Linked DNA regions of Macaca fascicularis. The protein of the gene in region 3 interacts with the protein of the main gene of each other region in a biochemical or structural test. Links are inferred from orthologs where the notes say so. Each region holds a gene or a part of one and is shown on either strand. Other genes may lie near its edges. The genes, in order: RNF125, USP20, UBC, PCNA, ASCC3, TRIM32 and DHX15.

The links.
Region 1: the proteins of UBC (region 3) and RNF125 form a complex in vitro, tested with the Homo sapiens proteins (3 studies listed by BioGRID, with this or other methods). The link is inferred for Macaca fascicularis from reciprocal best matches to the Homo sapiens genes UBC and RNF125.
Region 2: the proteins of UBC (region 3) and USP20 are reported together in a solved structure, tested with the Homo sapiens proteins (2 studies listed by BioGRID, with this or other methods). The link is inferred for Macaca fascicularis from reciprocal best matches to the Homo sapiens genes UBC and USP20.
Region 4: the proteins of UBC (region 3) and PCNA form a complex in vitro, tested with the Homo sapiens proteins (2 studies listed by BioGRID). The link is inferred for Macaca fascicularis from reciprocal best matches to the Homo sapiens genes UBC and PCNA.
Region 5: the proteins of UBC (region 3) and ASCC3 form a complex in vitro, tested with the Homo sapiens proteins (2 studies listed by BioGRID). The link is inferred for Macaca fascicularis from reciprocal best matches to the Homo sapiens genes UBC and ASCC3.
Region 6: the proteins of UBC (region 3) and TRIM32 form a complex in vitro, tested with the Homo sapiens proteins (3 studies listed by BioGRID, with this or other methods). The link is inferred for Macaca fascicularis from reciprocal best matches to the Homo sapiens genes UBC and TRIM32.
Region 7: the proteins of UBC (region 3) and DHX15 form a complex in vitro, tested with the Homo sapiens proteins (2 studies listed by BioGRID). The link is inferred for Macaca fascicularis from reciprocal best matches to the Homo sapiens genes UBC and DHX15.

Annotation. Positions count from the first base shown.
Region 1 is NC_088392.1:57,851,823-57,856,211, forward strand, and holds the start of RNF125 (E3 ubiquitin-protein ligase RNF125), read right to left. Parts: upstream 3,139-4,389; 5' UTR 3,100-3,138; coding exon 2,936-3,099; intron 1-2,935. UniProt on the Homo sapiens protein: E3 ubiquitin-protein ligase that mediates ubiquitination and subsequent proteasomal degradation of target proteins, such as RIGI, MAVS/IPS1, IFIH1/MDA5, JAK1 and p53/TP53.
Region 2 is NC_088389.1:14,027,574-14,031,459, forward strand, and holds part of USP20 (ubiquitin carboxyl-terminal hydrolase 20), read right to left. Parts: intron 2,382-3,886; coding exon 2,279-2,381; intron 1,217-2,278; coding exon 1,145-1,216; intron 676-1,144; coding exon 515-675; 3' UTR 1-514.
Region 3 is NC_088385.1:132,077,541-132,081,495, reverse strand, and holds UBC (polyubiquitin-C), read left to right. Parts: upstream 1-1,155; 5' UTR 1,156-1,219; intron 1,220-2,053; 5' UTR 2,054-2,056; coding exon 2,057-3,658; 3' UTR 3,659-3,726; downstream 3,727-3,955.
Region 4 is NC_088384.1:82,160,626-82,165,062, reverse strand, and holds the start of PCNA (proliferating cell nuclear antigen), read right to left. Parts: upstream 2,950-4,437; 5' UTR 2,790-2,949; coding exon 2,569-2,789; intron 1,857-2,568; coding exon 1,759-1,856; intron 1,668-1,758; coding exon 1,600-1,667; intron 334-1,599; coding exon 139-333; intron 1-138. UniProt on the Homo sapiens protein: Auxiliary protein of DNA polymerase delta and epsilon, is involved in the control of eukaryotic DNA replication by increasing the polymerase's processibility during elongation of the leading strand.
Region 5 is NC_088378.1:74,695,359-74,699,244, reverse strand, and holds part of ASCC3 (activating signal cointegrator 1 complex subunit 3), read right to left. Parts: intron 2,348-3,886; coding exon 2,205-2,347; intron 1-2,204. UniProt on the Homo sapiens protein: ATPase involved both in DNA repair and rescue of stalled ribosomes. 3'-5' DNA helicase involved in repair of alkylated DNA: promotes DNA unwinding to generate single-stranded substrate needed for ALKBH3, enabling ALKBH3 to process alkylated N3-methylcytosine (3mC) within double-stranded regions.
Region 6 is NC_088389.1:41,394,023-41,398,430, forward strand, and holds the start of TRIM32 (E3 ubiquitin-protein ligase TRIM32), read right to left. Parts: upstream 3,077-4,408; 5' UTR 3,028-3,076; exon of another isoform or gene 2,746-3,027; intron 1-2,745. UniProt on the Homo sapiens protein: E3 ubiquitin ligase that plays a role in various biological processes including neural stem cell differentiation, innate immunity, inflammatory resonse and autophagy.
Region 7 is NC_088379.1:23,697,864-23,702,221, forward strand, and holds the start of DHX15 (ATP-dependent RNA helicase DHX15), read right to left. Parts: upstream 3,026-4,358; 5' UTR 2,877-3,025; coding exon 2,806-2,876; intron 1-2,805.

The DNA.
Region 1 (4,389 bases), on a different chromosome or scaffold from region 3:
TAAAAGCATCAAGCATCTGGCCCTTTCAGTTTTCATAGTTTGATGACTCCCGTGCCCATATGCACATTAATACATTTGTAGGCCTTTCCTCCCCTGTTAATCTATTAGCAGTTTGTTTCATAGACTCAAGTGATCAAACCTTTAGGGGAAAAAAATCAAATTCAAATTTCCCTACAGTGGTCACACAGCTTGCTAGTGGCAGAGGGGAATTTCAAATCCAGCTTTCTATAAGGGCCAGTTACTACTGCATCACAATACAACTTATAAAGTGCTCTGTACATATTCAGTCAAGGTACTGCTGTTACTATTAAACTTGTTTGACTTGAAAATCAGCATAAACCACCTAGTTCAATATGTCTGAAACTGTAGCTTCAATATGGGATAATAAAATACAGAAGGTTCATTTGCATTTATTCATTTTCCAACTTAATTTCAATGGAAAAGAGTAATTCATTTAGAATGTACAAATGGCATTAACAACGCTCATAATCTCTACAGCAGAAAAGACTCTGGTTAACATTTATAAAGTGGAAGGGGCCCAAGTAAGTTTGCCAAAAGGAGGAATATGGAAATTCTGCCCACAGCTAGAACAATGGACATAGATTTGTCAAAACAAAGAACAGTAAAGAGAGGAAAGGCAATTTGTTCAGCCCTTGTAATGCTATTTTATGGTTATTTTTCCAGTTGCTAGTTTCCTATTCACTTTAACAAAGAAAAAGATTAAACAAAAAATTGAACATTTTGCAAACTTACATTATCCTTTAGTAGAAGGAAAAATATTGTAAATGGTAAGTTATACTATTCAAAGTCCAAAACAGGAAAACAATCTCCAGTCAGATAATTGAATTAGCAGCAAAGCGGTCTATTCCAAAAAGAATCTTCAAAATGCCCACTGTTTATGTTTTGCACAACTTCAAAGTTTTAAGGCTAATAATGATTCAATTTCAATGGAGGTATCTTTAGGCTGTTATTGCCCTAAAATAATCAATATATTTTATGACTCACACAGCCCATCTTGGCTTCCAGATTGGCCTGTGGATATTACGTTAATGAGCTACATCTGGACAGCTGAGCAACATTAGTAATCAGAAAGGAGGGTAAATTTAAGCCTCGAGTTTTAAGAACAAAGCTGAAACAACAGGCCTCGAAAATACAGCTACGAAATAATGCCCAAAGCACTCTTTATTTATACATTGTGCAGGCTGCACACTTTTTTCCCTGGCTCACAGGTTGGGCAGTGGTGAAAACTGCTTTTCAGATACAAGGCTATAGGTATTAAGGATCACCTAAGGATTCCAGGTGTGAGCCACCATGCCCGGCCTCAAAACTTCTGAATGCAAGTGCACAACATGTTTTTAAGGACTACCTAAATCCTTTCAAAAGTGATCCTCAGAAGCAATAATGCTATTTCTTTCTTCCTGCTAAGCCAAATGCATTTCTTTCTTCCTGCTAAGCCAAATACAAGTACATGCCACTGTGGTATCACACAGGGCTTCATCATACTATAGTCACCCTTCAAAGGACATTAAGTAGGCTTCCGCTTCTGATCCGTGCAGACACACACACACACACACATCCACGAACAAAATTCAAACCAAAGAGAGAAGGCTGGGTGCAGTGTCTCACACCTTTAATCCCAACACTTTGGGAGGCCGAGGTGGGTGGATCAATTGAGGTCAGGAGTTCAAGACCAGCCTGGCCAACATGGTGAAACCCCATCTCTACTCAAAATTCAAAAACTAGTAGGGTGTGGTCGTGGGCGCCTGTAATCCCAGCAACTCGGGAGGCTGAGGCAGGAGGATCACTTGAGGCGGGGAGACAGAGGTTGCAGTGGGTGGAGGTTGCAGTAAGCCGAGATCCTGCCACCGCCACCGCACTCCAGCCTGGGCGACAGAGTCAGACTATCTCTCTCTCTCTCTCTCTCTCTCATACACACACACACACACACACACACACACACAAAGTAAACAGCACGAATTCACAGATCCAACTTCACCAGTTACTCAAGCACACATTAAGCATGTGCCAATTTTATATAGGAACTTTGTTTTTAAACTCTTCTTAGAAACGACCACGGCTTTGCACCAACTGTGAGTTTTAGCTAAGTACTATGCCGTTTTGAGAAAGTTATTTTACTCTGTAATTTCTGCCGGTTTGGAGAGACGGCGTGTAAAGCAGGTAGTCTGTCACCTCCTGTCACGTTGTGGCTGGGTTTTGGAGGAGTACATTCAGGGGCTTGCGGCTAACGTCCAAGCCCCACCCTAGCAGGTTGTTAAACTCTAACGACTTGTGGAAAGTCACTCGGAAGCTCCAGTTTGACTTGCTCTTTGAGGGGATGGGTGTCTGTGTTGGGAAAGGGTAGCAGGGGTGGGGGTGGAAAAAACACTTTGCACAGATCCTTGTTTGCTTAAGACGAGCCTCTGTGGGCATTCTGGGAACACGTGCACAGCTCCAGCAAAACAAAACGGACCCGAGTTTCTGGGGCAGAGGGAAGCGCAGCCTGTTCCACCGTGTTCAGCGGGGTACCTGCGCTTTGAGGGAGCCCCTGCCTTGCAGTTGGAGCTCGTTTCTTTTTCGTGCCCGGGCGAGCGCTCGTTCTCCAGCCAAGAGCACCCTCCCCTGTTGGCGAGCCCTGGCTCTGGGCGGGACCCGTGCCTGGATCCCCTTCTCTGGAGCTCCGCACCTGGACTTCGGGAGGAGGCAGCGCAAGGGGGCTGCAGGGCCCGATTGTTTCTTTTTTCTCCTCCCGAAATCCTGTGTCACCTTCCGACCGGCGTTTTCCCCGTGGCCCCGCACCCGACGGGTCCAGGTTTCTCTCTGCAGCAGTTTCCTAAGGCGCTGTCTTCCGTCCCCCTCCTTCCCCACACCATGCCCTCAGCTTCCCGACATCGCCCTCCTTAGGGGTGGGCCCAAACCGAGCTCCCCTGGCACTTACACGTGGCCACAGCGGGTCCGGACAGGCTGGTGTAACACCTCAAGGCACACGGCGCAATCGAAGGACGTGACGGGCAACTCCGGGTCCCCCCTGCGCTCCAGGGCCCGCGGGGTGGCAGAGGGGGGAGCCGATTTGCCGCTGTCGCTGCTCAGCACGGAGCCCATCGCTGTGCCTCTCGCCCAGACAGCTGCCAAGCACTCAGTGCCTGCTGCAGGGTTGTTTTGTTGTCGTGCGGTGGAGGAAGGAAGTCCCGGCCCAGCTGCGATCGCCGCCTCCCAGCGCGCGCAGCTCGCGCAGCCAAGAAGCAACCTCCGCCGATGCGCCCAACCCTGGTCTAGGGCAGGGCGAGTGCGCGGCCGCGGGGCTGAAATCTTCGGCAAACCGCCTAGGTTAAGGCGCGGAGGCGGAGGCGGCAGCCGCCAGGTGCTTTGTCTTGTGGTATTGGGAGGATTGAAACCTGAAACCTCAACTGCAGAGAAGAGGACTTGAGGCAGTAGTAAACCTTCCAAGCTGTCACACACAGCCTCTTTCCCCACTGTCAGAAGTTAAGTGCGGGCGTGGCCATGCTTAATGGTAATCAGAGAACAGCCGCTTGTAAGGACCATCCTCCACTGTTGTAATCACAATAAGCTGCATTGAACTATGACCTATGATTGGACGTCTCCTAAGACGGTGCTATCATTACTCTGTCGTCCAATCAATAGTCCATTAATGGAGAGAGAGCCTGGGTAGTGGAAAGAGTTCTGGAGATTCAGATTCCAATCCTACCTCTCTTACAGATATTCTAGTGCTAAACCCTGCCGTCTCCAGTTTCCTCTGCGGCTCAGGATTTCCTCTGTTGTTTGTACTCTCCCCATCCCGCCCTTTAAATGTGATCAGCCGGGCGCGGTGGCTCACGCCTGTAATTCCAACACTTTGGGTAGGCCGAGGCAGGTGGATCGCTTGAGGTCAGGAGTTCGAGACCAGCCTGGCCAACATGATGAAACCCCGTCTCTGCTAACAATGCAAAAATTAGCCGGGCGTTAATTCACACTTTTTTCGAAGACTTATTTCGTGCCCACTGCACGCCAGACTCAGTTCTGGTGATGGAGACACAACTGTCAACAAGCAAACAAAATCCCAGTTCTCACAGAACTTACTTTAAAAAACAAAAACAAGGCTGGGCGCGGTGGCTCACGCCTGTAATCCCAGCACTTTGGGAGGCCGAGGCGGGCGGATCACAAGGTCAGGAGATCGAGACCACGGTGAAACCCCGTCTCTACTAAAAATACAAAAAATTAGCCGGGCGCGGTTGTGGGCGCCTGTAGTCCCAGCTCCTCGGGAGGCTGAGGCAGGAGAATGGCGTGAACCCGGGAGGCGGAGCTTGCAGTGAGCCGAGATCGCGCCACTGCACTCCAGCCTGGGCGACAGAGCGAGACTCCGTCTCAAAAAAAAACAAAAAACAAAAAACAAAA
Region 2 (3,886 bases), on a different chromosome or scaffold from region 3:
GACTCTGGCCCCAGACGCATCCTCTGCCTGAGGGGGGCAGCATCGGGCTCCAGGAACAAAGCTGGGCCGAGCTAGTAAGAGGACAGTTGTGGGGGACACAATGATGACAGTGACTGGCAGGAGCACTGCCAGGACAAAAACCCAAATTAACGTCACAGAGTCTTGGTCGTTTAAACAAGCCTGAAGTGCACGTTTTCCAGTTGCAGCGTTACTCACTGCGAACCAAACCAACTTTTCTGCCTCTTTACACAGCGGGGTTCTGCAGTGGCCCGGCCTCTCTTCTGGGCACAAACACGCCTTCCGCGGGGTGGGGCACACAGGGCTGTGGGGACACGGGCACTCAGCAGTGGGGCTGGGCACGTCCAGGGCCTCCCTACAGCCTCCAGGAAGGCTCCTTCAGGGACCTGCCCTTTGGATGCTCAAAGGGACACATGAGGGTCTCTGGAGAGGGAGGAGAGGACCCAGAGTGCCGTGGAGGGACCGGCCAGGGCCACTTACAGACTAGCCCAGCAAATCACACTGCCCGGGTCTCGGCTTCGATCTTCTGCTCCCCGTGCAGGCTCTCCGGGCCCGGCGGCTGCACCACACTCTGGCGGATGGCGATCTCGGGGCCGCCTCCGTACAGGCTGTTCAGGTAGTTCCAGGTCTCCTCTGAAATCTGCCCGTAGTCAGCTCCTGCAGGGCACGAGAGGCATCCCTGGGCTCACCTTTGCCGCCTCAAGGAAGCCACTGGCCTGGGCAGTGGGGGCTCCGCAGGGCCAGACCCCAAAGGGGGAGGACGGCAACCAGGGCATCTATGCAAAGCCGTCAGATGGAAACCAGGATTTCCCAGAGGAACGTCCGTCCTGCTAAGGGCCCCGGAGATGTGTTATTTCTGGCTGTGTCCCTCGTTCCTGGGAGTGGCGCTGACATAAACAGCAGGGTGGGCCAGGCCAGCAGCAGGCGGAGGGGTGGGACCTGGGGGACACAAGCAGAGACCAAGCCCCTTGCGCCATCTCTCAGCCGCCTGGGCCTGGACTCGGGTGGACATCTCAGCCTGACTCTAAGACAGGTGGGAAGGGGGCTCCTGGAAGGACGGGGCTGGGCAGCAGCCTGGCAGCCAGGAAGCGCAGAGAGGAGCCTGGCTGACGCTGGGGGAACTCACCCTGCTTCAGCTGGACGTGGCCGCTTCCTTTGACCTGTGCAATCCTGCTGTTGTCAATGGGCCCGGGGGGCTCTGGAACAGACACAGCAGGCTCGGGTTCAGCCCCTGCCACACCCTCCACCCTCCGCAGCAGCAGAGCCATCCCAAGTGAGGCCACCCCAGGCCTGGGGGTCAGCGAGAAGTCTCTAAAGGAGGTGCCTGGGCCACCCAATGCTCCTCTGCGGCAGTCTGAGGACCCAGCAGAGGGAATTTCCAGGATGCACGAGATCGTCTCAGACTCTGTGCTGGCCGCGGGAACTGCGGTGGGCGGCCCATGCCCTCATCTCTGCTGGCAGCTGCCACTCACCACGCCCCTTCCCCTCTGCCCAGCTGTCTCATTTAGCCTCAGCAGCCACAGGACAAGACAGAGGTTTACAGAGACAGAGCCGAGGCCTGGGCAGGTGAAGTAACCACTCAGGTCACAGCTGGTAGAAGGCAAGGCCACCGTCCAGGCCAGGGTGGGGGTTCCGGAGCTACGTTCTCAACCACAGCCACGCTGAAGGCCTCGGCCACCACCAGAGGTGCCTCAGGGTGGCCCTGGCACCTTCCCTGAGCAGCGGGATGGCAGTGGGGCCTTCCTTCCCGAGCACAGGTGGGTGCTTGTGCTCCACACAAAGGGTCCCGTGAGCAGGACCATGGGGTCTGCCCACCCTGCCGGGCCCCAAAGCCACAGGCAACCCATGGCTGGCTCTGCTGTTCCTCACTGGGGGTCTGGGGGGCCCTGGGAGCATCCTTGTGATGGGGCCTGTCTCCATCTCTGTAGATCCAACAAGTTGGATGACAAATCTGTCATTTCGGGCAACACGCTCCCCTGAGGAAAGGGCCTTGCAGGAGGGCAGAGCAGCTTGCTGGGCACGGCAGGGAGTGGAGAAGGGGAGGGGCGCAGAGCAGGAGCGGCTTCCTGCCTCTGGGTGGGGACAGCGATCCCCACTGGGGACTGGCAGAGCCCCATGCTCTCTGTCCACCCTGGATGGGTGGCACCTGGGGGAAGGTACGGGGCCTGCAGGAGCCCCCGTGTGCCGGCCCTCCCCTGCCAGCATCCCATCTCCCAGGAGGCCCCCGGGGCAGGTAAGTGCCAGGCCCCCCTCAGCTCACCGTTGTCCTTCCCCTTGACGAACGCCTCCCACTCCCGGAACCACTGCATGCTGATGCAGTAGATGACGCCCGGCGACTCCTCGGCCTGGAAGGCCTTGTTCAGCTGGGCAGGTGGGCAAGGACGGGAGGGGACAGAGGGCAGGTCAGCCTCTATTTACCTTCAGCAAGGATTTCCCAAATGCCCCCGCCCCAGGCCCTCACCCAAGAGTCTTACAAAAACACCAGATGCTCAAGGTGAAAAATCAGAACCCCCAGACAAGCTCAAACAAAATGAACACACCCATCGCTCAGAGAGGACAGTGGCAACATTTTGTGGGTCTCTTCAATAACTGTTTGACCCAACTGAGACCACAAGGGAGATGCTACTTTTTGAGAGGGAGTCTCACTCTGTCACCCAGGCTGGAGTGCAATGGCACGATCTCGGCTCACTGTAACCTCTGCCTCCCAGGTTCAAGCGATTCTCCCACCTCAGCCTCTTTTGAGTAGCTAGGACTACAGGTGCGCGCCACCACCTGGCTACTTTTGTATTTTTAGTAGAGATGGGGTTTCACTACGTTGGCCAGGCTGGTCTTGAACTCCTGACCTCAGGTGATCCGCCCACATCGGCCTCTCAAAAGTGCTGGGATTACAGGCATGAACCACTGCACCTGGCCTGGCAGATGCTAATTTTCCCCGGTTGAATAGAATGTGCCTATCTGCTCAGAGAGGCAGCTCTCCTTCTGACAGGAGCATTTTCTTTTTCTTTTTTCTTTTCTTTTTTGAGATGGGGGGGGTCTCACTCTGTGCCCAGGCGGGAGTGCAGCGGCGCAATCATGGTTCACTGCAGCCTTGACCTCCTGGGCTCAAGTGATCCTCCCACCTCAGCCTCCTGAGTAGGTTGGACCACAAGTGCACACCACTATGCCCAGCCCTGACAGTATCTTTTTTGTTTTTGTTTTGAGACAGGGTCTCTATTGCCCAGGCTGGGGTGCAGTGGCACGATCACAGCTCACTGCAGCTTCAACCTCCCAGGCTTAGGTGATCCTCCCACCTCACTCAGCCCTCCAGGTAGCGGGGACTACAGGTACACACCACCGTGCCCAGGTTATTTTTGTATTTTTGGTAGAGATGGGGTTTCGCCATGTTGGCCAGGTTGGTCTTGAACTCCTGGGCTCAAGTGATCCACCTGCCTCGGCCTCCCAAAGTGCTGGGATCACAGGCATAAGCCACTGTGCCCAGGCAGCAGAATCACTTCCTAATGGCCACAAAGCACGGGCGTCCCTCAGTGTCTCTCGCCGGGCCTTCCCTGTGAGTGGAGCGCGTCCTAACCCTGTTAGAAGTAGTGTGGCAGGGAGGGAGTGTGCCAGGAGCCTCACCTGCACTCAGCTCTTTCACAGAAGTCTGAATGACTGGAGGTCATTTTGGTTGTCACTAGCACTAGTGAGTAGAGGCCAAGGATGCTGCTAAACATCCTACAATGCATAGGATGGCCCCACAGTAAAGAATGATTCAGCCCAAAATAACACAGCCAAGGCTGAGAACGGGATCCATCTACTGGTTCTTTAAGCTCAACAGCACCCGGGCGACGAGCCTTCACTTACTCAAGCCAACCCTCTCACCAGGAAAAGT
Region 3 (3,955 bases):
AATAGGTTGTGGTAAAAATTTAAAAACCTGGCTGGTGATTCTTTTCTCCCCACTTCTTTTATCAAAATAGAATTGCCCTGTAGAATTACATTTCATATTTGACACCCTACCCTGCCCTGAAATAGGGCTGGGATTCTATTCCTGTCTTTTAAAACCTTCGGTTTAAATGGGTCCGATTATTGAATGGATCCTGATTACAATAATCGTACCCATTGAAACCAGAGAAATTTCTAGGCCTCCCTGTTGAAACCAAGTAGGACCTTTCCATACCCGGCCCTCAGAATGTACACGAAGGTGAAAGAACAGTCTAGAAGGATGTCGTTCCCTCAGCCTTGGGTTCCAGCTAAAAAAAAAAAACTGTGTGGGGTTTCCCCCTCACTTTTCCAAATTTAACCTGGACACCAGCTCCTCTGCAGTGTCTCCCCTCGAAAGTTCTCGAGCGTTCCCCAGCTTTAGGGCCGCGCCCGGCCTGAGATCTGCTGAGTCATTGTCCTTGTCCCGCGGCCCGCAGCGGGGGAGGGGCGCGGCACCGGGGAGCCCCCGCGACCGGGCTGGGAAGCTCAGGAAGACTGAGGGGGGCTGAGCAAAGAAAGCCCCGTCATTATCTCAAATGTGACCCAAAAATAAAGACCCGTCCGTCTCGCGGGGTGGGCCAGGGCGGGTCGCGAGGGAGGGGAGGGAGACCCCGACTCTGCGGGAGGCGCTCCGTCCGCGCCCCACGTCCGCCGAACGCGGGGTTCGCGACCCGAGGGGACCGCGGGGGCTGAGGGGAGGGGCCGCGGCTGAGGAACGCGGGCTGCCCACCCGCTCCTGGCGCCGCAGAGTCCGCACCGGGTTTTGGCGCCTCCCGCGGACGCCCCCTCCTCTCGGCGAGCGCCTCCACGTCATGGCCGCAGGGCGCAGCGAGCGCCCTGATTCTTCCGCTTGGGCGCTCAGGACGGCGGCCCGCTGCCCACCAGACTCAGTCCCAGAACCCCAGTCTCAGCAGGAGGACATTTTGGGACGGGACTTGGGTGACTGTAGGGCACTGGTTTTCTTTCCAGAGACCGGAACGGGCGAGCAAAAGTAGTCCCTTCTCGGCGATTCTGCGGAGGAATTTCCTTGGGGCGGTGAACGCCGATGACTATATAAGGACGCGCCGGGTGTGGCGCAGCTAGTTCCGTCGCAGCCGGGAGTGGGATCGCAGTTCTTGTTTGTGTGTCGGTGTCATCGCCACTTGGTGAGCAGAGGGCTGCTGGGCCGGCCATGGCTTTCGTGGCCGCTGGGCCGCTCGGTGGGATGGAGGGGGGCCGACGCCGCGGGATGAGAGGCCGCCGAGGGCTGTAGTCTGGGTCCGCGAGCAAGGTGCCCCGAGCAGCGGGTGGGAGGGGAGCGCAGCAAAATGGCGGCTGTTCCCGGCTCTTGAATGGAAGACGGTTGTGAGGCGGGCTGTGAGGTTGTTGAAACAAGGTGGGGGGCATGGTTTGCGGCAAGAACCCAAGGCCTTGAGGTTTTCGCTAATGCGGGAACGCTCTTATTCTGGTGAGGTGGGCTGGGGCACCATTTGGGGACCTTGATGTGAAGTCTGTCACTGACCGGAGAACTCGCTTTGTCGTCTGTTGCGGGGGCGGCAGTTAATGGCGGTGCCACTTGGCAGTGCACCCGTAGCTTGAGGAGCGCGCGCCCTCGCAGTGTCGTGACGTCATCCGTTCTGTTGGCTCATAATGTGGGGTGGGGCCACCTGCCGGTAGGTGTGCAGTAGGCTTTTCTTCGTCGCAGGACGCAGGGTTGGGGCCTAGGGTAGGCCCTCCTGAGTCGACAGGGGCCTGACCTCTGGTGAGGGGAGGGATAAGTGAGGCGTCAGTTTCTTTGGTCAGTTCTATGTTCCTATTTTCTTAAGTAGCTGAAGTCTGAGTTTTAAACTATGCGTTCGGGGTTGGCGAGTGTATTTTGTGAAGTTTCTTAGGTATCTTTTAAATTGTAATCATTTGGGTGAATATAACATATAGTTTAAGTATTAGGAAGATTAGTACATTGTCTGCTAAATGCTGGTGGTTTTTGGCTCTTTTGTTAGACAATGCAGATCTTCGTGAAGACCCTGACTGGCAAGACCATCACCCTTGAGGTTGAGCCCAGTGACACCATTGAGAATGTCAAGGCAAAGATCCAAGATAAGGAAGGCATTCCTCCCGACCAGCAGAGGCTGATCTTTGCCGGAAAGCAGCTGGAAGATGGGCGCACCCTGTCTGACTACAACATCCAGAAAGAGTCCACCCTGCACCTCGTGCTCCGCCTCAGAGGTGGGATGCAGATCTTCGTGAAGACCCTGACTGGCAAGACCATCACCCTCGAGGTCGAGCCCAGTGACACCATCGAGAACGTCAAAGCAAAGATCCAAGACAAGGAAGGCATCCCTCCTGACCAGCAGAGGTTGATCTTTGCCGGGAAACAGCTGGAAGATGGACGCACCCTGTCTGACTACAACATCCAGAAAGAGTCTACCCTGCACCTGGTGCTCCGCCTCAGAGGTGGGATGCAGATCTTCGTGAAGACCCTCACTGGCAAGACCATCACCCTCGAGGTGGAGCCCAGTGACACCATCGAGAATGTCAAGGCAAAGATCCAGGACAAGGAAGGCATCCCTCCTGACCAGCAGAGGTTGATCTTTGCTGGGAAACAGCTGGAAGATGGGCGCACCCTGTCTGACTACAACATCCAGAAAGAGTCCACCCTGCACCTGGTGCTCCGTCTCAGAGGTGGGATGCAGATCTTCGTGAAGACCCTGACTGGCAAGACCATCACCCTTGAGGTGGAGCCCAGTGACACTATTGAAAATGTCAAGGCAAAGATCCAGGACAAGGAGGGCATCCCTCCTGACCAGCAGAGGTTGATCTTTGCTGGAAAGCAGCTGGAAGATGGGCGCACCCTGTCTGACTACAACATCCAGAAAGAGTCCACCCTGCACCTCGTGCTCCGTCTCAGAGGTGGGATGCAGATATTCGTGAAGACCCTGACTGGCAAGACCATCACCCTCGAGGTGGAGCCCAGCGACACCATTGAGAATGTCAAGGCAAAGATCCAGGATAAGGAAGGCATCCCTCCTGACCAGCAGAGGTTGATCTTTGCTGGGAAACAGCTGGAAGATGGGCGCACCCTGTCTGACTACAACATCCAGAAAGAGTCCACCCTGCACCTGGTGCTCCGCCTCAGAGGTGGGATGCAGATCTTCGTGAAGACCCTCACTGGCAAGACCATCACCCTTGAGGTGGAGCCCAGCGACACCATTGAGAATGTCAAGGCAAAGATCCAGGACAAGGAAGGCATCCCTCCTGACCAGCAGAGGTTGATCTTTGCTGGGAAACAGCTGGAAGATGGGCGCACCCTGTCTGACTACAACATCCAGAAAGAGTCCACCCTGCACCTGGTGCTCCGCCTCAGAGGTGGGATGCAGATCTTCGTGAAGACCCTCACTGGCAAGACCATCACCCTTGAGGTGGAGCCCAGCGACACCATTGAGAATGTCAAGGCAAAGATCCAGGACAAGGAAGGCATCCCTCCTGACCAGCAGAGGTTGATCTTTGCTGGGAAACAGCTGGAAGATGGACGCACCCTGTCTGACTACAACATCCAGAAAGAGTCCACTCTGCACTTGGTCCTGCGCTTGAGGGGGGGTGTCTAAGTTTCCCCTTTTAAGGTTTCAACAAATTTCATTGCACTTTTCTTTCAATAAAGTTGTTGCATTCCCAACTGGTGTGGTTTTTTAAAAGTTAAGGTTATTTTGCATTAGACTGGGTGAAGGGGATCAAGGTTTTCAGTTTACAAATGTTGCTGTGGTAACAGTGAAATGTCAGTGAAGGGGTTGACCTTAATATAGTACGAACTGTAGAAGGTGGGTGCAAATAAAAGCCGGCTTCAAGACCAGATTGGCCAATGTGGTGAAACCCTATGTCTACTGCAAATACAAAAAGGCAGGTGT
Region 4 (4,437 bases), on a different chromosome or scaffold from region 3:
GTTGCAGATTTCAACAGTATCTCAATTTTCAGAAATTACTTGGGATCCAATTCTGTCTACTTTTAATTTTAGCAATTAACCTAATAAGCAGTATTACAATTCTCTTCAAACTATTTTTTTTACTTAAAAACTACTTACAGCTTCCTCCTCTTTATCGACATTACTTGTCTGTGACAATTTAATGTTTCCATTTCCAAGTTCTCCACTTGCAGAAAATTTCACGCCGTCTTTTGCACAGGAAATTACAACAGCATCTCCAATATGGCTGAGATCTCGGCATATACGTGCAAATTCACCAGAAGGCATCTTTACTACACAGCTGTACTCTTGTTCCTATTAAGAACAAAAATTTTCCAAAAGTTAATTGTTAGAAATTTAATGATTTGGCACCCTCACTTTCTTAAAAGGCAACATCTAAACAACTCAGAATCAAGATTTTCTGATTACTGACTCGTGTAATTTCTTAACAAACTCCACTCAAAAAAAATAAATGGCTATTAAATGCACTGCCCAGGGAACAAGCGCCTCCTCCTCCTCATCCTCCAGGGATAAAGTAAGAGAACATTAGAGTATGCCACAGAAATGATGACGGCGCAAGCAGGTCTAACTATTTTCTAAAAGAAAACGAGAGAATATGATATTAGGCATTTTCAACATTCCAACATTTCTTCTCTCCTTTGGTGTTTATAAACCTAACCTGGATACATTTCTTCTAAGATAGCTTTCAAACCCACTTAATAAAAACCAAGCATCGGGCCGGGCGCGGTGGCTCAAGCCTGTAATCCCAGCACTTTGGAAGGCCGAGACAGGCGGATCACAAGGTCAGGAGATCGAGACCATCCTGGCTAACCTGGTGAAACCCCGTCTCTACTAAAAAATACAAAAAAAAAAAAAAAAAAAAAAACTAGCCGGGCGAGGTGGTGGGCGCCTGTAGTCCCAGCTACTCGGGAAGCTGAGGCAGGAGAATGGCGTAAACCTGGGTGGCGGAGCTTGCAGTGAGCTGAGATCTGGCCACAGCACTCCAGCCTGGGCGACAGAGCGATACTCCGCCTCAAAAACAAAACAAAACAAAACAAAACCAACCATCCTAGAAGGAAGCAAATTTTAAAAGAGGTTCATGGAAATTAATGCAAATAGACAACTGGCAGTAAACAATAAATTTAACCAGTGAGTTTTAGACTTGTGGTAAACAACTATCCAAATACTAAAATCTCTTTAAAACATGCACCAGTAGATATGTTTCTAGAAAAAGTTCTGTTATGAAGTAGGCTTAAATTATATTAACTTATCTTGACGGAGGAGGATCATTGAGGCCAGGAGTTCCAGACCAGCCTGGGCAAGACTGCCCCCACACCCACACACAAAAATAAAAAAATTAGCCAGGCGTGGTGGGACAGATCTGTAGTCCTTCCTAGCCACTTAGGAGACTAAGTGGATTGCTTGAGCCCAGGAGTCCCAGGTTACAGTGAGCTATATGGCACCACTGCACTCCAGCCTGGGGAAAAGAGGAAGACCCTGTCTGTAAAAATAAACAACATTCTATGACATAACTATCATGCCTGTGTACAGCAGTCGCTACAATCAGAAACTGATACTCACTGGAATTCCAAGTTGTTCAACATCCAAATCCATCAACTTCATTTCATAGTCTGAAACTTTCTCCTGGTCTACCAAAAAAAAGCAAATGCTGTTGAGAAACACTGGCACAGAGTTTCGATCTTCTGTAGCTTCATAACTCAGTAAAAAGGTACGACTTACTGGGTGCTTCAAATACTAGCGCCAAGGTATCCGCATTATCTTCAGCCCTTAGTGTAATGATATCTTCATTGCCGGCGCATTTTAGTATTTTGGACATACTAGAAGACAGGAGACACATGGTTTAAAATCAACACCATCTACTGAAGGTCTGTATTTCTAATGCAGTTAGAAGGGGTTACCACTCTCACCCATAGGCCGTCTCAGAACTGGTGGAGGGTAATTGCACTGCTGGAGGATGCGAATATTAATGCAGACATTTTGGGATGCATCTGGCAGTATTTATACTAAAATACCACCAGCAGTTTCCCTTCTGGATAGAAACAATCTCCTGCCACTAAGTAGGATGACAGGCTGACACTTTTCTCGCAAGGGCACATTATAAAGCATTTAAAGTCAATCGCGACTGAGCCGGGAGGATCGCCTGAGCCCAGAAGTTGGAGACCAGCCCGGGCCAACACATCGAGACCGTCTCGGAAACAAAAAAGCCACAACTAAAGCGTCCATTCAAGGCCAACAGGATTTAGTGAGCAAAAGCTCTGGAGCAGTGTTCCTGGCACTGCAGAAAAACCAGTCATTTTCCCGCCACCACCCGCTTTGTGACTTTGGCGCGAAAAAGCAGGTTCGCGCAGCAGCCAGCGCGGGCTTTTCCGAACCGCGCGCTCAGCTGGGCCCCACCCCCCTGCATGGCAGGCCAATGAGAAGGTGCGGATGGTCCACGCCAGCCAATGAGGGCTCGGCTCGGAAGCGATCCCGCCAAACCCCGGAGGTGGGGGTGGGCCGGGGCCGGTTTCTCGGCGCCGCGAGGCTCACCTGGTGAGGTTCACGCCCATAGCCAGGTTGCGGTCGCAGCGGTAGGTGTCGAAGCCCTCAGACCGCAGGGTGAGCTGCACCAAGGAGACGTGGGACGAGTCCATGCTCTGCAGATTTACGCCGCTGGAGCTAATATCCCAGCAGGCCTCGTTGATGAGGTCCTTGAGGGCCTCCAACACCTTCTTCAGGATGGAGCCCTGGACCAGGCGCGCCTCGAACATGGTGGCGGAGTGGCAGCAACGCGGCTACAGGCAGGCGGGAAGGAGGAAAGTCTAGCCGGTTTCCGCTTCAGGAGCCTCAGAGCGAGCGGGCGAACGTCGTGACGAGAAGCTGAGACCTAGAAACAGAACTACCAGTCTGCTACGCCTGCAACCGTTTAATGCCGCCGCGTCCGCCAGCGCGCGCTCTTACCCTGCGCCGCGTTGCGACGTCACCACGCTGCCCGGCCCACAGCCTGGGCGGGTTAGAATTTAGGGCCAATCGTGCCGATGCTCCCCGCGAGGCCCGCCCCCTAGGACATACATTGGAGGAAGCGGGTGCAGGGCGGGGCAGCGTCCCGCAGGTCTCCCCGCCTCTTCGCCTGACTCCTGAACCTGACCACTGAACAAGTCCGGGCATATGTGGGGATCCGGCCCAGGCCCCGGTTCGTCAAGCCCCAGCTTTATGGTGCCTCCTCAGCCTCCAGCTCCGTGGGTAGAAAGTTTCCAGCCACGAAAGTGAAAGTGAAAAGCAAATCCAGCCTACCGGGAGGAAAAGCCTCCTTGTAGCCTGAAGAGTACAGCTGCTGCAAATATGCACTTTATTTTTCAATTACAGAAGTGATGCGCTCCTAAGTGTCACACCATAAAGAGTTATGTTAAACTTAGCTCCCTCTCACCTCTTAACATTCCACTGCCAGCTCTTATAATCACTCAATCGTTCCTTGTATAAAGCTTTTAAAGCTTTTTTGAAAGTTCGAATACACTTTTTTTTTTCAAAATGCACTCATTCCGTAAACACTTCGAAAAAGTACTTAATAAAGTACATTTAATTTTATGCCACGTACATCTTTTTTATATCAGTACCTCTTTAAAAGATAGCATCACATGTATGTAACTTATCAATCTCCTGTTAATTACAAACACCTTTGAGCACTTAGGCAATTTTGGTGCTATCAACTCCTTGAAGTAATACAGCTGAGTCAAAGAGCGTACACATTTAATTTTTTTTCTTTTCTTTTCTTTCTTTCTTTTTTTTTGAGATGGAGTCCTGCTCTGTCATTCAGGCTGGAGTGCAGTGGCGCGATCTCGGCTCACTGCAACCTCCGCCTCCCAGGTTCAAATGATTCTCCTGCCTCAGCCTCCCAAGTAGCTGGGATTACAGGCGCCTACCACCGCGCCCGACTAATTTTTTTTTTTTTTTTTTTTTTTTTTTTTTTAGTAGAGACGGGGTTTCACCATGTTGGCCAGGCTGGTCTCAAACTCCCGACCTCAGGTGATCACCCGCCTCAGCCTCCCAAAGTGCTGGGATTACAGGCATGTGCCACCATGCCCGGCTAAATTTTTGATAAATGTTACTAAATCTCTAAAAGTTTGCAATTTACATTCTAGCCAAGACTGTGTATGAACATGCTCATTTATCTTTATTTTCCTAACTACAGATATTAGCAATCTCATTTTTTAATCATTGCTCATCTGTGTCAAAAATTCAATTTTTTTTTTTTTGAGACGGAGTCTTGCTCTGTTGCCCCGGCTGGACTGCAGTGGCACTATCTCGGCTCACTGAAACCTCCGCCTCCCAGGTTCAAGCAATTCTCCTGTCTCAGCCTCCCAAGTAGCTGGGATTACAGGTGCCTACCACTACACCCGGCTAATTTTTGCATTTTTAGTA
Region 5 (3,886 bases), on a different chromosome or scaffold from region 3:
AGTTTCTACCTAGCCTTCTTGATAGTTTTCTGCTGATCAAAAAAAAAAAAAAATGAAACAGAGAAGTAATTCTATACAATGTCTGAGCTATCTACAATTCTTTAGGTCTCATACATTAAAATAAAATAAAAAAAAGAAACACAGTGGATGTACTATACCTGATATTAGCACATGAGGTTCACATTTGAAGTTAATGTGAGTCACATATGTGCTAAATGCACAATGTCTATATACTTTAAGCAAACATCCCAAAGTGTGTTTAGTAGGTTTGTACATTGTATCTTGACTTCAAAGAAAAGTGTCCATTTGGAAGACTTTTAGGATAACATATAAAATAAAATTAAGCCTAGAGAGATACTGCATATAAACAGAGTCATCAATATTTTGTACATCTATTTTTCATCATTTGTCTTCTAAGTTATGACACTGCCTTAGACACAATAGGATGATTATTCAGATATCAATTAAACAATACAGGATAAAAAAATCTTTTAACAACATTATTTTGAACATAAATTAGTTTCTTAAATATCTGGTATATCCATACAAGTAACATTAAGTAAATAAAGATAAATTTAAAAGATAAAATGATCGCTATTACTCTACTTCAAGCAGTCATTTGATAGTCCGCATATTAAGCTAATTTATGAGTCTGTTAGTGAATAAGGTCATCTTGGAACTAAGCAAAACCATTCTGAAATATCAGTTAACCATTACACAATAATGTAAGATATAGAGTACTATCCAACGGTCCTACTAACTCTAAATGAGTCATGAGAAGTAGAAGGGGAGAAATATGCAAACTGTTAATCCTGGACACCAGTGGGTTTGGAACATTGTTTTTTACTGATGCTGAAGAGCACTGCTCTTCTTTAGCCTGCATGAGATCACAAAGTGGGAACACGGAAGAGGGTAGGTGGCGAGATCACAACTCAACAATTATGCTACTGATTTCATCTGTTTTCTTTGTAACTCCATTTAGGAAAATATTTTTCAAAACTGGAAAAGTGTAAGAAAGAACAATCACTATATATTAAATCTATAGAAAGGAGGAGGAATATCTATATTTAGATGTCGTATAAAGAATCACAAAGGACCATACTAACAAACTGGATTACATAAAATGCAAAGTCTTCTATTCGTAAAAAGACACCATGATAAGAAGACAAGCAATAAACTAGCAAAGTTACCTAATACAGCAGGCAAAAGATTAATATGTATATATGTATAGAAATACATATATACGGAGAAAAGTAATATATAAAATTTTACATACGTATATATTTTTCTAAATTTGGCAAATCTCTCACACAAATCTACAAAATAAGTGCTGTACTGGAATAGATGAAAGACCAAAGAAATGAAGAGGCAACAAGGAAAAAAGAAGACAACTAGTAAATACATGAAAAAAAAAGTTCAACCATACAAAAATCAAGGCATACATTAAGATAATATTTTATCTATAATATATCAATAAGTTGCAACAAATGAGGATGCAGTAAAACTGTTATTCTCATATACTTCTGATAACTCATACATCAGTGGTGATGACGCCAATAAGTACAGTTCTTTTGGAAAGTAATTAGCAGTGTACCTGAAAAAGCTGTAAAAATATTCACATCATTTGACCCACTAATTCTATTTTTAGAACTCTATACTGAGAATATAATTTTAAACAGAGAAAAATCTACAATAATAAAGATGAATGATTATTAACTTACAGGACAAAACCACTATGAGATAGTTGCATAATGGAATATAACTGCATAGACACAAAAATTATAATTTAAAATTTTACTGGTGGTTATTACTTAGGGAAACGATAAAGCAGTTTTTAAATTTTTATATGTTAGTGCTTCCTAAAATTAAAAAAAGATTATTATATATTTTTAAAAACCCCACCTTTGCAAAATTGATTTTAACTTCAGTGAGGGCAGTGAATACTAAAAGAATATGAAAATGGTTGAATGTTACAACATACATAGGTGATAATGTTAAAGGAAAAAGATATAAATACAAATATACAAAATAAATATTAAGTGGGACTATACTAGAACAAACTATATCAGAATATTAATAGTGTGGTAAGGTGGCGGTATTAAGGATTTATTCTTTCCCTATAATATAATTACATACATAATGTTCATTCTAATACAATATAACCTGAAACGTATAAGTAGTAGAAGATAAAAGATGGTGCTTACCTCTCTTTCATCCATGTTTAACCACTGCTTTGGATCTTCTTCAGTAGCCAGGAAGGCGATCAATTCCAAAGCAGTAAGACGAGTTTGACGTCTTGATGAGACAAATATCAAAACAGGTTTGGCGGGAGAGTGGCTTCTAATTGCTGTTGAAAAGTTGTGGGAAATAAAATGGAAAGCTACTTAACCCCAGAATATGAATTTCAGTAGGATATCAAATGGATTCATGAAAACTAATGATGGAAACAATTTAGGCATGAAATCTGGCATTATTGCAGGTACTACACGGATCTGGCAGCATATTAGACAGATTAATAGGAAAAGAAAAGTTGATGGCCCTACCTAGAGAGTATATTGCCTCAGAAAAGATTTAATTATGCTGGGTCCAAGTTCTATTCTGAGCTGCCAAGGAAGGAGAAACTTAAAGATTGAGACTCTCCATTAAGAGCTATACATAGACACTGAATCTTAGATTGAGTTTTCTGTGCTAAGTTGTGTTTCTTAGCTATTTGTATTGCCTAAGCAGTGATATTACAGAGTTAACTGGTCCTGGGGTCTGGTGAGAAAACCAAGTCCTGCCAGGTGATGGAAAATGTCTAAAAAGACCACAAAAAGTACCTTTTATTTTTATCAGTGATAGAAAAATTAGTAGAGTTTGTACCAGTAAACAGGTTAAGAGATAAATCAGAAGAAAGTTTTCCCTCTGTTTTTCTAAAAGCATATGTGTGAGAAGGGCAGACAACAGAATGTAGAAGGGGGCTGAAGAGAATACTATGCCTGAATGAGTATCTGAGTAATGGGACATGGTAGTCAACACAAAGAAGATGAGATGACTCTGGTCAACACAAACCAGAGTGACAAGACTGAAGGCAATTTTGTACAACAAATCTTTAAAAATAATTAAAGAGCCACATAAATCACTTGGCTTATATTGAAATGAGGTTTTTTTTGTTGTTGTTGTTGCTTTACATAGGCTCCAAAAAGCTGATAAGATGCCATGAGTAGAATATATATTTATGTCTACACAACTCTCTTAAAACAGTCAGAGACATGTAAAAATTTTATATAAAAAGTTCAACTGCTTTGTAATTTCTTGTTTGAAATGTGAGCTGCAGAATTTCTTTTTATGGGCTGGGAAACAAGGTTTATAATGGAAATGTTGACATGACCTTGACTTTATTTACATTCTAACTATGAGAAATAAAGCTATTACACAATCATATTTCTAAACTCAAAGAAATATAGTAATCACTACAGGTATAATAAATAGTACATAAGTATAGCTGCTGTGCAGATACCATATCTACGGAAGTGTAAGTATTTTAGTTATTTACTATTGATTTATACAACACAAACGCTTCCTTTCCATCAACGGTATACAGTCATTCCATATAGATATATGCAATTTCAACAATATATATTATGAAAAATAAACATTTATCTTATTTCTCATTATTTTTATTATTTATCAGAATGTTATCCAAGGTAAATGATAAAGTTTGATAAATCATATTAGAGATACACCATTTAAAATACACATATTAGTACAATATTGGTATCATTTGGACACATAAATATAAATGGATCTCTGTCTTTCTTTAGGCCTCAACATTTAATGGATTTTTGCTGCTGAAAGAACAGGTGTGGCTGAACAGCTCATGGCAGATTTATTGTTCATTAGTGAT
Region 6 (4,408 bases), on a different chromosome or scaffold from region 3:
AATGTAACATAGGTGTAAGACACAACTGGGTTTGTATCCCAACCTAGCCACTTGTTCTGTAGCCCCGGGTAAGTCACTTAACCTGTTATTTTTCTCATCTATAAACAAAGAATAAAACCCAGACTGTTAGCAGGATGACTGAATTCACTAAGATAACGCACATAATAAGCACTCAACAAATGATAATCATTTGCATTTTTAATAGATTGAAGCTGACAGGACAAGTGCTTGTCCAAGGTAACATGGGAAATTAGAAAGAGTAAGGAGTTTAGACAGGACTGATTGAATTCCCATGACATATTTTCTTTTAGGGATGTGCATGGATATTCCAGCTAAGTCTTGCTGTCAGATACAGTCAAGTTTTGTTTCTGAACTGGCTTCAGCAATGCTGTAGCTAGTCCTGGAAATGATAGAGCCAATGCTACTATTCTGTTCCAGGGAAAAGCAGTCCAAAAGAGACCATACACAACAGTAGTTACTCTCCTTCAAAGTATGACTGCCTTCAGCCTCAGTCCCTGCTGTGCCTTCAGCCTCAGTCCCTGCTGTGAGGTTTTTTTTTCAAGCCAACAGCCTCCATACCTCACCCCATAGTCCGCTGCACCTCATCCTGCCTGATAACTTCAAGCTCCTCTCCTTATCTAGCCCCTGGTCTTGGTCTAAGAACAAACCAAGAACAAAGTCCAGGGCTCCTCCCAATCTAGTCAGAGAGATTTATCCCCCAACTTTAGAGTTCAATCTGATAGTCAGTGATTCTCACTGGGCAATCCTCGTTTTCATTAGAGGGGAATGGGCTGAGAAAATAAGACTAAGCGGGTCCTAGCAAGGAAAGTGGGAAAATACAGAGTTACAGAGATCTGGGTATGAGCTTAACTGTGTCATTCCTAGCTATGAAAACTTAGGCAAGTCACTTCCTAAGCCTTAGTTTCCTCATGTGTAAAACTGAATACAGTCCTTAGAAGGACTGTCATGAAAACTGAGTAAAGAAGTAGATACAAGACTAAAAATTACTAGACTTTGAGAACTTACTATGTGCCAGATCCTAGGCATGCTAATTTACTTCACTAAATCCTCACAACAATTCTGTGACATAGGTCCTGTTATCATAACCCCATTTTACAGATGAACAGCCAAGGCACTGGGTGGTAAGTAACTCATTCAAGGCCACAAAGTCAGGAAGAGATAGAGCTAGGACTTGAACCCAGGGTATCTGATTCTAGGGCAGAGTGCCTCAACTTTGGCATTACTGACATTTTAGGCAGGATAATTCCTTACTGGGGGGGAGGGGCTTATCCCATGCATTGTCAAATGTTTAACATTAACATAAAACATTATATTTAATGTTTAATCTACCCACTTGAGGCCAGTAGTATCCCCCACCCTAAGTGTGACAACCAAAAAACATCTCCAGACATTGCCTAATGTCTCCTAGGAGACAAAGCCACCCCTGATTAAGAACCACTGCTTTACAGTCTAGCACAGGACTAAATGCTCAATACATAAGGGTTCCCTTTTTTTGTTGTTGTTTGATTTTTTTGTTTTTTTTGTCCCTCTCCGAGCCCAAACATCTCACTCACAGAGCCACTGCCCCTTCAAGCTGCAATGGATCTTATATAGGATAAATTATTCCACTCATTCCCCTGGAGGTCTCACATTCTATCTGCTATGGTAGCTTGGGAGTACAAGGAAAAAGGGCTTAGGCAGATGACCTTGAATAGTTCCATTTCTTCTTCCCCAAAGCCTACCACTTTCAGTGGACCGGGGGAGGGGGAGGGAGAAGGCGGTGGTCAGAGTGTAGTTAGTGGCAATACCATACCTGCCTTATGATAACGGATCTTTGTTTAATAAATGAAGAAGATTCTACCCTTCACAGGGATTACCACACTCCTTCAGGATATCTGAACTGAAGATTTATCACTTTGTTCCTGAACACCTGAACTCTGCTCATCTTCATATACTCATCCAGAGTTTCATACATTACTTTTAGGTCCTTGGGTCCCCTAAACTCCCCCCGTCTCCCATGCAGCGATTTAAGGAAAATCTCTTTAGCAGCCCAAGACACCAATCCACATATCTACTCAGTGTCCTTTGATTCTATAGCCCAGTTAGGACATCTCCACCCCACGATTCAATCCTCTCCAAACCCTGTCCTCAACCCTCTTACAATACCAAATTCCAATCTTTGGGGCTGTATAACGCAACCCTCATCAATTCCTCACTCATATGCCTCAAATCCCTCGGACACAGATCCTTTAATCCCTATTTCCAAATCTTTGCCGCACTCAGCTCCGCACCTCAGTTCAACGCCCTAATTCCTCACTTCAGATTTCTGCTCTCCCTCAATCTGAACCCCCATCTCCTGCATTCCATCAGGCACTGTGCCGCCCTCAAACCCTGCTCCTTCCTCTTATGCACTGAATGTCATGTGCTGCCTTCACAACTCAGCCAGCTCCCTTCTTCCTGCTAACAAGAGTCCCCCAAGAACTCACCCCACCCCCTCTATCTCACCCTCAGCCCACTCCGAAAGCCCTTTCTCAATAGCACTTAGAATCGCCCTAGACCTTGCTCCTATCATCTTACACCCTATCCTTGCCAGATGCCTAGCGCCCCCAGATTCCCTCAAATCTCATCGGGGCCCCCCAGTTCCTTCATATTTCTGAAATTCTGCACCCAGGTCCCTCCAGGGCCCTGATTCCTTCCCATCTCCCACATGCTGCACCCCGTTCCTCCTCAGGGCCCCCACATTACCTCATACCTCCCGAGATGCTGCCACCGCATATCTCTTCAGAGCCCCTCGCTCCCCTCCCCCAGCTCCATCTCCGCGGATCTCCTCAGCCCCACGAATCCCTCCCGAGCCTGCCCCTGGCAGCCCCACCCCCACCCTAGTCCTGCCCCTCAGATCCGGTCCCCAGACCCTGCCATTCGGGCGCGGCCGCTGCACGCCGGCACGTTCCCCCGACCGGCCGCTGAGCCACGGCCCACGACTTCGGCCGCGGTCCCTAGTCCCCAGCCCTCCTTCCCGCCCCCTACCTGACCGCCCGCAGCTCCGACGAGTCCACCGCCGCCAGCCCACCCGCCCGCCGTCCTCTGCGCACGCGCCGTTGAGCGCCCTTTGCCGGGCGCCAATTCGCAGAGCTCCCTGTCCGTCACTGAGCCCCGCCTCCCGAGGCATGCTGGGGCTTGTAGTGCAGCGGGCCCCAGCGCGCGGGGCCAGGCGGCCCTGCAGGGGTGAGCTTTCCTCTGAGAACCCGGGGCCTTAGCGACACGTAATCCAGTGTTCCGTCGCCTTTGTGCAGATGAAGAAACCGAGACCCATGGGCGAAAGAGACCTGCTCAAGTTCACTCAGTAAGTCAGGAGATAAGCCAGAATGCGTATCTGACTCCAGTCCAAATGTCTACCCTTTCACAAAACTGTAGCCTCCAGGGTAGTCCTCAACAAAGCGTTGGCACCTTGCTGAATCTGTTTTTCCATCTGAGAAATGGGCCAACGGAAGAATCAAACTTCCATTCTGGGGAGGTCGAGAACCGGGACTCCCTAGGAAGGGCAGTGCTTTGGCCCCATGTCCTGTGCTCTGATAGAGCGCTGCACTAGAGACAAGTTTATCCATGAACACATTGCTCTGTAAAGGAACGTTTTGCCTACTCAGCTGGGAGGCCGACAGCAGAGGCAGACATGGGGAGTACACGCTGCAGCCCCTGTCCCTGCAGGCTGAAGGTACCCGGGAATCCAAACCAAGTGTAGTTTTGGGGAGTCAGAGGTGAAGGTGGAGGAGTCTTACCAGTTGGGAGGTGACCTGGCCTGAGATTTGAGGGAATCTAGGGCACTAGGCATCTGGCAAGGACGAGGTCTGATACAGGACTGACTAGCCACGACCTGCACTCCCCGAAGTAGTTTGGGGCCAATCACCTATTCTCCAAGGTGATTATACTGTACAGCTTAGGAGCACAAAGGAGTTTGAAGTAGGATGGTCTTGGATTTGAAATTCCCCTTAGCTATGTGACCCTGCACAATGATAAAACAGTAACCAAAAACAATGACTAACATCTTTGAACACTTGCTGTCTGGCTACAGCTAAGGACTTCAGGTGCATAGCTCACTAAATCCTCATAAGGACCTCATGAGATAAGGCAGCTGATGGTTAACCTACACCTAACAAGGCCACCTGTGCCTAAGTATTGGCGCCCAGATTTGTACCCAATTCTATCTGAGAACCCACTCTTAACCTTGTTTACTCTTTCTCCCCATTTTCTAAATTTCTAAGTGAAGTTTGCCAAGAAGATAAACCAAGATTATGGTAGTTTGTACTTAATGATAACTATATTTGAAAAATTGCAATTAGCAGGTAGGGGATAAGGGAGAGGTGGTGCCAAATGATTTCTCACTTAGACTAGTTAGGGAGACTTTGCACTT
Region 7 (4,358 bases), on a different chromosome or scaffold from region 3:
ACGGAGATGAAGATTTTAGGGAATGCCTTTTTTAAACCTTTGAGTATAAACATTTCCTATGTTCCCGTGGTAAGTTCATTTAACCTCATCTACCATACAGGATTGTAGTGAAAATGTGTGTGCTCTACAAATGTTATCACAGTATTAACATATTAGCATTACTTTCCCATAAGTAACAGGAAAAAGTCTTATCAGGTGGTAATATCAAAAACCAACATCAAAATGAAAAACGTCCCTAACATGGAAAACTTTTTTCCATACTTCAACAGTAAGTTGTCTCTTGGTAATAACTGTATAGTGAAGACTCTGTGGGTTGACAAAAAGAAGAAATGAGGCCAGAATACGCAACAGAAACCTATAATAACTTCACCTGATTTCAAAGTTAAAATATGTCAAGAATAAAATAAAGACTTATATAGTTGGGAACATTAATGTAAGTGAAATCTCCCACTGAATTACCTTCTCTTCTCAGTATTGGAGACATCCTATCTGGCAGTGGAGTTTGTAAGACTGACAAGCTTATGCTCTCAGATAAAACCACTTGCTGACTATCAGGGTAAAAAAAAAAATCTGCAGGATTGCATGGCAGTCAACAAGTGACTTAAAATTATGGAGTATGAAAAAAAATCCTGATGCTGATAAACACTGTAAGTCCACTGTTAAATAAAGCCAGTTCTATGATAAATGGCACTCAAATGACATAGAAATTAGTATTAAAACTTCCCTCTACAATTTCTTATAACTTGAGCATTATTCCAAAGATGAACTCGCCTTTATCCACAGGCAAATTCTAAATAATATACAAGGGAATCATAAAGCTACCATTTGACCCCGAAAGTCGACATGTTTACTAAGGGTATCTGTTTTTGCAAGAGATAGTAAACAATTGCACATACATATGGTGGGACCACTAATCCCAAGGGAAGCATTTTAAATGGTGCACATATGCACAAATACAAATGAATTCATTCATTCCCTCCCAGAATATTTTGTTCCAATCTGACCTCCTGTTAGAGACATCAGTTCCAGATGACAGCAATTTATTTTTGCTTCAGAGAAATCAAGAACTAAGTGTTCCCTACTTTACCAACCCATTATAAATGTCATTAAAATAGGCTGTAATGAGTCTTAACTACAGTACTGAACTGTGTGCTGCTGAGTGAAAATGATAAAGGCAGGGTTCCAGATCCTGCTGTAAACTTGCCCAAGCCACCTTAACTGTTCTCCATTTCTCATTCCTTGAGTGGAGCTGTAGAGTCTTTTTTAAGTTGCTCCCAGCTCTGAGAGTCTGTGACATACAGCTCAGAGGCATTTAACGTTTTGTGGGGGGTAACGGTGGGGGACAGTGATAGCCTAAAGAGAGTCTGTCTTACAGTGTCATTGTCTTTTTACAATGCCTAATATCGCCAACTAAACAACTCACAAAACTGTACATGCTTTTGCTTTGTATTGAATAATTCAACATATGGGAAGGTCTCAAAGTACATCCTATCCTGGCTTATACTCTACAATGACACTAAACATATCCCTAGAAATCAATTTCAATGAAGAACTTCAGCTGAAAATTTCAAAAAAGCTAGACAAGGGGACTTGACACAGTGATTCCGTATCACAAGTACACAATAAAATGATAAAATTATGCAAAGTATTTGGATATTCGGGCTTTTGTGGGTTTTGCCTGAATTATCCAAATAGGTCTTTGTACTTCAGCAATGAAAACACACACGGGAAAGAAACAGATTTTCATAAAACTGCTTAAGTTAACTGTTAAATTCCTCTGTATCTTTAAGGAAAGGAATCTGGAACACCATGAGTTTGTGTAAGTATTTCAACTCTCAACCTCCACATGGGCGGTGTTTCGCCATCAATACTAAAAACACGTTTTGAACATGATCCCTGTATTTCAAAAGCTACTTATGAAGAAAAGTGGGACATGCACAGAAAATAAATGATGAAAAAAAAAAAAAAAGAATGCCTTCTAATCCCTCCCCATGGGATGATGTTCGGTAACCACTTTTAACCAAAGCAGGAAATAGAGGAGATGGCGGGAGCGTAGGCAGAGGGCGGAAGTTTGCTAGTATCTACTTTAAAGTGTTTGAATGGACCGAGACACGCTCTCTCCCGCCAAACTATAAACTCAGTCGCCCCAAAACACCAGCCTTCCAGCCCACCAGGTATTTTACTCCACCCTTCCTTTCTCCCGGCAAGTCCTCTACTCCACTTCCCCAGAGAACTCCCCATTTGCTGGCTTCTCTCAACTCCCGCCACCCCCACCCCAGCCTACATTAGGATCCACGCGCTGCTCTCACTTTCCGCCCTCCGCCTTTCCCGTCTGGAGTGCCTGGCCGCGCCCCCACTCAGGCCCTCCCCATGGCCCCTCTGCCTGGGAAGTGCCTGGTGCCCTTGGAAGCGAATACTCCCGCCGCGCCCTCCCCCACTCTCTCCCCCGGATCCAGGCCTTCCTCGGGAACCGAGGCCACGAGGTCCGCGGTTCACTCCCGCCCCACGCCCTCGAAAGTGACTCCTGCTCGGTTCGGCCTGGGGGAGGAGGCGCCCTCATGGCCACTGCAGGCCTCTCCACCCTCCGGACTGGGTTGGGCACCGGCCCCGCCGCACGCAACTCCCCGCGCCCTTGCCGGGCCGAACGGGCGCCGCGCTTCTCCGACCCGCCGCTGGTGAACCCAGCCCAGAAGGAAACAAAGGCTCGGGCTCCAGGACCCGCTCGGCCAGGCCAGTCCCAGCCCGCTCCCTGCCAGGACCCCAACAAAGCCCGAGCTGCTGCCTCGCGCCCCCGGCCTGGCTTACCCATCGGTCCCCGCACGCTTCTTGCCAGAGGGGTAATCCTCCCCTAGGTCCAACCGGTGCCGCTTGGACATCCTCGCACTCTTCGAACGGGCGGTTATTAAGGAAGAAAGCTAGCCGCTGTATGGGCACAGTGGAGGACAGCCACTTAACTCTGGAGGACCCCCACCCCTCCCGCTACTACAGCCCACACGGTGCGGCCGGAACCAGGAGCTAAAATGGCGGCGGCGACGAGGGCTGGGCCTGCGCGCGCGCGCGCTTCCGCAGCGTGCGTGCGTGCGAGTGTGCGTGTGAGCGAGGTGCGCGCGCACGCCGCCCAAAGGCGGGAACTCCTGTCCCGCCCGCTGCCTCATTGGTCCGACCTTTCTTGCGTCTCCTCCCTCTTCCCGTAGCTTTCCCCTCCTAGGAGCGGCTGTTAGGAAAAGCCTGAAGGCCTTCACTTTCCATTTCAGTCTATCCTTGCCCCTCTGAGTCGAGAAATTGAGGAAGTCTAGTCCTAGTTAGGAAATCCTATTCATCTCTATTACCCCGGCTTTAAGGGAATCTCAGACCCAGAGAGGTTGAGAAACGAAGATCGTACAACTAATAAGTGGCAGAGCCGGGATTGGAACCCAGCTATTTAGTAACTCCAGATCTGGAACTTGAGGCCACCCCGCTACTCTCAGTTGCAGTGAGGGACCGCGCGCGGTGGTTCACGCCTGTAATCCCAACACTTTGGGAGATCGAGGCAGGCGGATCACGAGGTCAGGAGTTCGAGACCAGCCTGGCCAACATAGTGAAACCCCGTCTCTACTAAAAATACAAAAATGAGCCGGGCGTGGTGGCGCACGCCTGTAATCCGAGCTACTCGGTAGGCTGAGGCAGGAGAATCGCTTGAACCTGGGAGGCAGAGATTGCGATGAGATCACGCCAGTGCACTCCAGCCTAGGCGACAGAACAAGACTCCGACTTGGGAAAAAAAAAAAAAATCAATTGCAGTGAGGAAACTAAAGTGAGAAAATCTTAAGGCTTGTCATGATCTAGTTTGCCCTTTTCTTGCCCAGCACAGACACCCATGCACTCAAGCTATAGATGTTTTTAGCTAGAATACAGAGAATTCGCAGTGAGGGCACAATTTGCTTTTATGTTTGTTTTTTTGTTTTTCTTTCTGTGCCTATTAATGCACTTTCACAGTGTTAAATAACACCCTGCAAGGTAGTTGTTATTTTGTAGACGTGGACGCAAAGGCTGCGGAAGGTTAAATCTCACGGCCATAAGGGCTGTACCTAAAGCCGTAACAAGGAGGTGGGGCAAGATGACTCTAAGGAATTTTGTAGATCTCTCCCCCTAGAATATCTCTGCTTCCTCAGTTGCATTCGTTCCCAGAAGAAATGCACAAGAAAAGATCTGTGGACTATCTGCAGCAGGGTGATCTCTGTTGTTCATGGAATGACTTGGTTTGGCTGCCGTGGAAGATCATACTCTGGTTCTTATCAAAGTCTCGGGACTGCAATTGCTAGGATTAAACACAACTTAAATATTGCAACTGATGAGGGGTTTGTGTGTTTGTTTTGAGA